Linked DNA regions of Oryctolagus cuniculus. The protein of the gene in region 1 interacts with the protein of each later gene in a biochemical or structural test. Links are inferred from orthologs where the notes say so. Each region holds a gene or a part of one and is shown on either strand. Other genes may lie near its edges.

Region 1 (3,741 bases):
CCACCAGCTTCCGGAAGTCCTGGGTCCCCGCTCCCTCTGCTGCCCCCCGCAGGCGGGCGGGTACGGACCCCCCCCCCGGGGGGGGGCCCAGACTCGCGCTTTGCGGCCAGGCCTGGAACGGTGGCCACACGGAGAGAACCCAGCGCGGGCCTCCTGACGGGTTACAGCCCCGGACACAACCTCATGTCCACCCAGGAACACGGTTAAACCATCACGACTCACCCGCCCCGCGCACTGGGGAAGCCAGCGTGGACCCCTGGCAGCTTGGCCTGCCCCATCACCTGCCGGCTCTCGCCCTGGGGAGGCCGCAGGTGCTGCTCCAGACTGGCCCAGCCACCAGTGCGGGAGACCGGGACAGAGCTGGCCGGCCCCTCTGGGGAGTGAAGCGCCGGGTGGAAGACCCTGCCTCTGTCACTGTCAGATAAGTCACATTTTAAAAGGAGCAGGGAGTGCCACCATGTCCCTCGATTCCACGGCTCACTGCGCAGAGACTGCGCCCTCACTGGTGAAGTTTAAGGGGTCAGAGGGGGCCTGGTGGGGCTCCCAGGCAGGCAGAGGGAAGCTGAGAGCCAGCAGGTGGCCCCGAGTCCAGGGTCACGGACACCACTTGGCAGACCTGGCCTTATCGCTGTGGTGCCCAGGGCCAGCAGTGTGGGCCGACCTGGGAGCCTGCAGCTGGGCTGTGGACTGGGGTCAGCTCTTGGGGGTCACAGGGTGAGAAGTTACTCAAGGCGGGGTGGTCGCTCAGCATGCCTGTCGCCCCCGCTGGCAGGGCCAGGGCCCCAAGTCGGAGCCCAGGTGACTGGCAGGCACAGACCACCCCCAAGGGCTCGCGAGGGCAGGCTCTGGGTGTGCCTGGTGCCACGCCAGAGCGGGGCAGGGACAAGGGCCGGGGTGAGGACCAGGGGCTGTGGGTGCACTGATCCCCGACTTCCACCGCCTGCAGCAGTGGCCGGAAGTGCTTCCGTGCCCGCCTTCTGGGACAGGCACACCCTGCAGTCAGCCCAGGGAGAGAGACCAGGGCCCGGCGCCACACCGGCACCCATGTGGGCACCGGTTCGAGTCCCGGCTCCTCCACTTCCGAAGCAGTGCCCGGCTAATGAATGGCCTGGGACGGCACTGGAAGAAGGCCCAAGTCCTTGGGCCCCTGCACCCACATGGAGACCTGGAAGAAGCTCCTGGCTTCAGCCTGGCCCACGCCCAGCCAGCCATTGTGACCATTTGGGGAGATTTCCTCCCTCCCCCCCAGCTCTGCCTTTCAAATCAATTAAAGTAGGCGTGACAGGCACCTGTCACCTCCACGCCAGCCCAACGGGCTTCGGCAGCGTGGCCAGGCGCAGGCTGTGGCGTGGGGCAGGAGGCTGCCCTGGGCGGTCAGCAGGGTCGCTCCAGCCGCCCGCCGCGGGGAGAGGGGAGAAGGCAGGTGCCCCGGGCGCCCCCAGCCCTGCGGACGCCTGCGTTAAGCTCGAGGGCCACAGGACCCCACCCCAGCCGTGTAGCCCCCAGCAGCCGGGTTATGGCACCGCCGTGACCCGCCTTTCGGACCCCCAGGCGCTCCGACATTGCCTGCGGCGCCTACGGTGAGAGCAGCCCCGTACCACGGGGCTTCGGCGGCCGCGTGAGCCCCAAAAACGTCCCGGCCCCGCCAGCGCCCCTGCGGCTCCGAGGCCCAGGGACCCCCGAGGGCGCGCCCGGGCCTCCACGACTCCACGGGGCGGCCTCCTCGGGGCGGCCGCTCGCAGGAACGAGGGCACGAGTTACGCAACTCGGGGCAGCAGGCCGGGTGGGGACAGCCCAGCCCCGAGAAGCGGACTCCCAGTCTGCTGCGCGCCGGACGCGCTCGGCGCGGTGACGTCATCGGGGCGCGCCCAACCTCCGCCGGGCGGTGCCGCCGCCCGGGGATCCCCAGCCCCACCCCGCCCCGGCAAGGCCCGCGGACCCCCGACCCCGCACCGGCCCCCCACCGGCCCCGGCTCGGGAGCGCGCGTCTCGCCCGGGCAGCCCGGGCCGCAGTGCAGCCCGGCGCGCGCCCACATCCGCGGGAGGCCCGTCCTAGGCCGCGCCGCAGCGGACCGGCCCACCCCGGCCGGACGGCCGTCCGCCTGGCCGCGGGCGCACGCGGCGCGCGAGAGCCTGACCTGGAGACGACCGCGGGCTGTCGCTGCGCGGGACACCGACGGCGGGACGGTCGGCTTCGGCGAGGGCTCCAGCTGCGCGGGGCCGGCCTGGCCGGGCGGGGCCGGCTCGAGGGGCGGGGCCGGGCCGGGCGCGTGGTGCGCGGGGCCGGGTCGCGGGCACCGTGCCTCCGACGGAGACAGGAGGCGAGGGGCTAGGGTCGCTTGGGCAGCGCCCTGAGCACCGGCTTCTGCTGGAGCGGAGGCAGGGGGGTGACCTGGCTGCGACGCGGTTACAGAGACCCCGACCAGCCGGCGGAGCTGCTGCGGGGCCCTGGGTCTGGGTCCGCTTCCCCGTGGCCAGGAGTGCGGATGCGGGGTGAGGGTCCCTGGAGACGGACGCGCCGCCCAGAGGTGCCTCTATCCCTGTGCACGCTCCGGGTCGCTCAGAGGTGCTCTGGCTAGCTTTGATTGGCGGGTGACCCGGCCGGGTGGGGTCCCTCGGCCTGGGGTTCCTGTAAGTGGTGGCTGCTGTCCGCCCTGACCTGCACTTTCCTAATGGACCCCTCAGGACCAAACTGACCAACAGGGTTTCCTGCGGGCAGCGGTCACTCCCTCACTCAGCGACAGCCGGAGGCTGGGTCCTTCCTGTCCCTGCCGGGCTCTGTCTCTGTCCCCCGTTTCTTGGCCTTGAGGCAGCAGGGCCCACGCTCGGCTTCCTGCTGTTCAAGGGGCGTCGTGTGGTGCCTTCAGGACGCACGAAGGGGCAGTGGCTGGGGTGGCTGTGGGGGTGCAGCTGCCTCACTGCCCAGAGCAGTGCAAGCTGGGGAACCGGAAGCCCCCAGACAGCTTTCGGTCATGGACAGGCCGCGCGCCGGGTCACTCTCCCGGTCACAGATGGGTAACCGGCTGCTGTGTGAACCCCAGGAAGGCCAGGGCACACCCGCCTCCGTCTCCCAGGGGAAGCCAGGCCCCGGCAGCCCCCTTCCCTTGCTCCGGGGGGCGAGGCCGTGACCTTGTGAGCCCCTCTGGGGGCTCTGGCCCCTGGTGCTCAGCCACAGTTTCTGAAGCTTCCTGGGCAGTCCCCACTGCACCCCCAGCCCGCGACAAAGCTGCTTCCAGCCAGGAAGGCTCTGGGTCTGGGGTCTCCACGTGGGTCACCCCCGCCTGCCCAGGCGCACCTGCTCAGTGACCTGCACTCGGCCACGCACAGGTCCAGGGGCAGGGGCAGGAATCAAAAGCGATGCTGTGACATTTCAGCTAGCAAACAGCACGGCACAGTGTCTCCCACAGAGCTTGCACTGAGGGGCTGCTGCCAGGAGGGGGCGGGCACACAGTGCCCGGATCCCCCAGGTCTTGAGTTCCAATCCCTGCCCCTGGGATGCGGTGGGGCCGGCGCTGGGCACGGGAACACCAGCTGTCCTGTGGTGTCCTCACCAGAAGGTGCAATCCTCTTAGGCAGAGAGAGATTGAAAGTCTTCCATCCACTGGTTCACTCCCTAGATGGCCCAACAGCAGGGCTGGGCCAGGCTGCAGCCAGGAGCCTCCTCCAGGTCTCCCGCGTGGGTGCGGGGGCCCAGGGACTTGGGCCGTCTTCACTGCTTCCCAGGAGCGCGAGCAGGTTGCT
Region 2 (3,741 bases), on another chromosome or scaffold:
CTCAGTTTCGTGTCCACCCCTGGGGAGAGTGTGCAGTGGGTTCTTCTGGCCATTTCGAGAGGTTCTGAGCTTCTTTACGGAACCCGTGGTTTTCTTTTTGGCTTCTAGTTGATCCAAGGCTGCTGCCTCAAGCTTAAAAGTCAGAGAGCAAAGTCTCTCAATTGGAACTGAACCGTGAGTGGGTGCGGCCTGTGGCCTGCGGGACCCTGATGTGCAGAACACCCCCATCCCCCACCCCGTGTCCCTCGGCCCCAGTGACTGCCCGGCCCTGCACGCGCACACACATCCATCCAGGAAGCGGCGCTTTTAGCTTTTGTAGGCAACTATACATAGAGAGTGAGATTTGACGCGAATTGGGATGAAACTGCGAGAGCCTGGGTTCTGGAGGGAAGAAACAATTTGATGCAACGATGCGGAGAGAAAAACGGAATCCTGTTCCGGGCACCTGCGAGGGGCCCACAGTATCCGAACAGGCCCCAACCTGCTCACCTCCAACCTGTTTGCGCACCCCGAGCGGGCTCCGGCTCCCGGCAGCCTCGCCCGTCGTAGTAGGCGGGCACGGACACGTCCCGCGCGTCCCTCCTGGGGTCGGGACCCCACGGCCGTTCCACGGAGCTCCACACGTGTCTCCACGCGCCCCAGCGGGGTCCGCGGAGCTCAGCCGCGGCCTGAGAGCGGAGAGGCTGCCCCGCCTCAGCGCACCCTGCCTCTGGAGGGGTCTGGCGCGAGGGGGGAGAAGAAGCCAGGGCACTCGGTAAAACGGCAAGAATGGAAAAGGAAAAGTTACCGCTGGAGTAGCCTGGCGGCCAATAACTGTGCCGAAAAGCGCAATTCAGTCGAGAAAAAGCGCGTGTTTTTCGCCGTGGCTCGTTGGTCTAGGGGTATGATTCTCGCTTTGGGTGCGAGAGGTCCCGGGTTCAAATCCCGGACGAGCCCTTCAGGCATTCTTTTAACTTTAAAAAATTTTTCCCTCTCTTTGGCCATTGCTTGGAAAAAGTTAAGTTCGCTACAGTTCTCATGTTCCGATTGTCCCGCAGAAAGTAGCATTGACCAGCGCTGGGACGGAACCGGCTGGGTTTCGGGCGCCGCCCGCCAGCGCTAAGGGAAACAGGGACCACTTCCAGCCCCTGTATCCCCCGGTGGCTGGGTCAGGAGCGCGCAGCCCCGGGCTCGTCCCAGGCCTGGGCGGGGATCCGCCCGCTGCTGTGGGGCGGGGGCTCGCGACGCGGATCCAGGCGGGAGGGGCCTCCAGAGGAAAGCTGGGCGCGGTCCCGAAGACCGAGGCTCGCCCGCGCATCCTCCGCCCTCCCCGAACCCCACCCGGGTCGGTGTCCGCGAGCGCCCCGACGCCACGCACACACACAGCAGGACTGCGGCGCCCCATCGTCGTGCAAGGGAGCAAGCAGAGGTGAGAAACACACTTTCCTTTGCCCTGTCCGGCGCGCTTCTGCCGCCCTGTCCCGAGGCCTGGGTTCCCGCTGCTGCTGCTCCTTCGTGGTGGCCTGGCCGGGGGCGCCGGGGGAGCCCCTTCCTCGCACGAGGGGCGGTGTGTGGCCCTAGGGGAGCGGCTGAGGGGCCGGTGTGGAGGAGCCCACGGACGGGGAGGGAGGAAAAGTTGCGTCCTTGCTCGCGTTCGCGATTCTGCGTTCCCGCCTCGTTGTTCCGGTTGTGCAGCCAGGCGGAGATGCCGGTGTGGATACCCAGAGGGAGCCCACGGAATTGGCCAACCCAAGGGTGGCCTGCACTTGCTCAAAACTAAGGAAACCTTCGGTACCAGGTCGATCGCCAGAATTGTGAAGCAGGGCTTTTGTCCAGGTTTTTGTTTTTGTAGTTGGCAAGCGTCGCTGACATCTGGGAACTGGTGTTTTCGTTTTCTCGTGGTTCCCCGCCCTTAACCCATCCTCTCAGCCAGTGTTGCGAAATTCCTGGAGACACTGGCCAACTTTCTCCTCTCCGAGCCTAATTGGAATCCCCTGGTTATTTGCTCTGAAACGGAACATGAACCGCAACAGCGCTTGGATAAAACAAGGCATCTTTATTTAGGAGGGACTGTAAAACCAATGTCAGCACCATCCTGGGGGCTGGCGAGATCTCAGTGAGCCGTATCCCCCCTCCGTGACAGCACGAAACCTGTGGTCAAGCCATAGCAGTATTCACTAGCAACCCAAGCGAGCGGCCCACCTTATAGAAGCAGCCTCAGCTATTCAGATGAGAACTAGCGGGTAGGCAACCTCTGGTATCCAAAGACCACTTACCTGCTCAGCTGCTAACTCGTCAGTGCAGAAGTATAATTTGGTCACAGATACTTTAATTCAAGCAACTCTCTTAAGGATAGAAAGGGGAGCAACATATTTTTGGAACTTACGGAAATATTTAGTGTGGGTTTCCTTTCACCACTGACTTTCAGGGGCACCTGAAAAAAGTTTTGCTTTTCTAGAAATTACCAAAAAAAAAAAAAAGAATAAAAAGTTGTGTGGTGCATTGGAAACCTTATAGTCCCAGGAATGGGATGGTGTCAGAGATTTGTTATGTAACTCTTACATAAAAGAAGCTAAAAGCAAGTAGGCTTGCTGAATTGTCGTTGGAAGCATTTGCCAATGGGACTGAAGTTAACGTAGATGGACCAAAAAGTGGACCATTGCAGACCTTTGAAACTGTTCTTTAGGAGTTTTCACTTAATCTGTATTTCAGCAAATTGCAATCTCTGTAAACAGAATGCCTTAAAACACTTGGTAAGGGAATGTACACAAAACACAGAGTTTGTTGAAAGGTGAATGTTTAATTTTTGTCTTTGGAAATAGAGTTGTGTCAGGAGGACTCTGTTCACATTCTCACTCAGTCAATAGTGTCCTCACTTCCTGGAGGTGTGACCCTTCTTTTCATGGGAGCTTTTCCTCCTTTAACCATTACTTTTGTCACTGGATAAGTTTCATGCTTATAGACCTAAAAATATTCACATTATAAAGGACTTTAAAGGTGATCTGGTCCGTACCTTCCTTCATCAAATTTTATAATTAGTCCTCGGACAGAAATATTGCATGTATACTCTGTCTGAAGGGGGACTATATTTTCCCTAGACTCCTTGGAAGTAGAGTCCCCTGCCTTCTATGTCCATGTGCAGGAACACTCCTGGCTTGAGGGAGAGACATAGGAAAAAAATCTAGGAAAAGGGAAATGACTTTCAAGTTCAAGTTGTCAGAGCAGTTGAAAAACAGGAGTTTTTTTTTTTTTTTAACTTGGCAGTTGTTTTACATGTACTAAAATTGTGGACAAAGATATAATGTTCACTAGTCACGCATTATAGGTCCTTGTGTTTTGAAGCACTGTAAGTGTGTAGATGCATCTTAATGAAATAGGAAATCTTTTTTTTTTTCCAAAGCCCTATTTTCTATTTCAACATAACTTCCTTGTGCCAAGTTTGAAAAGAAGAACAAGAAACTGGCTTTTGCATTGTTTACTCTGTGGACAGGTTTTGATCCCCCAGAAGTTGTCAGTTGATGACCCAGAGAGAGAGAAGGGACTCCCTGTTCGGAAGCTGAAGGCTACTTCCCAGCACTGGTGGGTAACTCCACTGTCAGAGGTTTGCTCTAGTGCCTGAATTGATGCTTCTGGTCATCAGAACACTCTCTCTCTCTCTCTCTCTCTCTCTCTCTCTCTGTGTGTGTGTGTGTGTGTGTGTGTGTGTGTTTTCACTGGGGACTAGGGAGGCAGTAGGAGTGTTGCAATGAGCCTGGCAAGTCT

Evidence for each region.
Region 2: the proteins of RNH1 (region 1) and ANG are reported together in a solved structure, tested with the Homo sapiens proteins (3 studies listed by BioGRID and IntAct, with this or other methods). The link is inferred for Oryctolagus cuniculus from reciprocal best matches to the Homo sapiens genes RNH1 and ANG.

What each region holds. Positions count from the first base shown.
Region 1 is NC_091432.1:186,367-190,107, forward strand, and holds the start of RNH1 (ribonuclease inhibitor), read right to left. Parts: upstream 2,296-3,741; 5' UTR 2,139-2,295; intron 1,879-2,138; exon of another isoform or gene 1-1,878. UniProt on the Homo sapiens protein: Ribonuclease inhibitor which inhibits RNASE1, RNASE2 and angiogenin (ANG). May play a role in redox homeostasis. Required to inhibit the cytotoxic tRNA ribonuclease activity of ANG in the cytoplasm in absence of stress.
Region 2 is NC_091443.1:54,100,350-54,104,090, reverse strand, and holds the start of ANG (angiogenin), read left to right. Parts: upstream 1-1,275; 5' UTR 1,276-1,408; intron 1,409-3,741. UniProt on the Homo sapiens protein: Secreted ribonuclease that can either promote or restrict cell proliferation of target cells, depending on the context. Endocytosed in target cells via its receptor PLXNB2 and translocates to the cytoplasm or nucleus.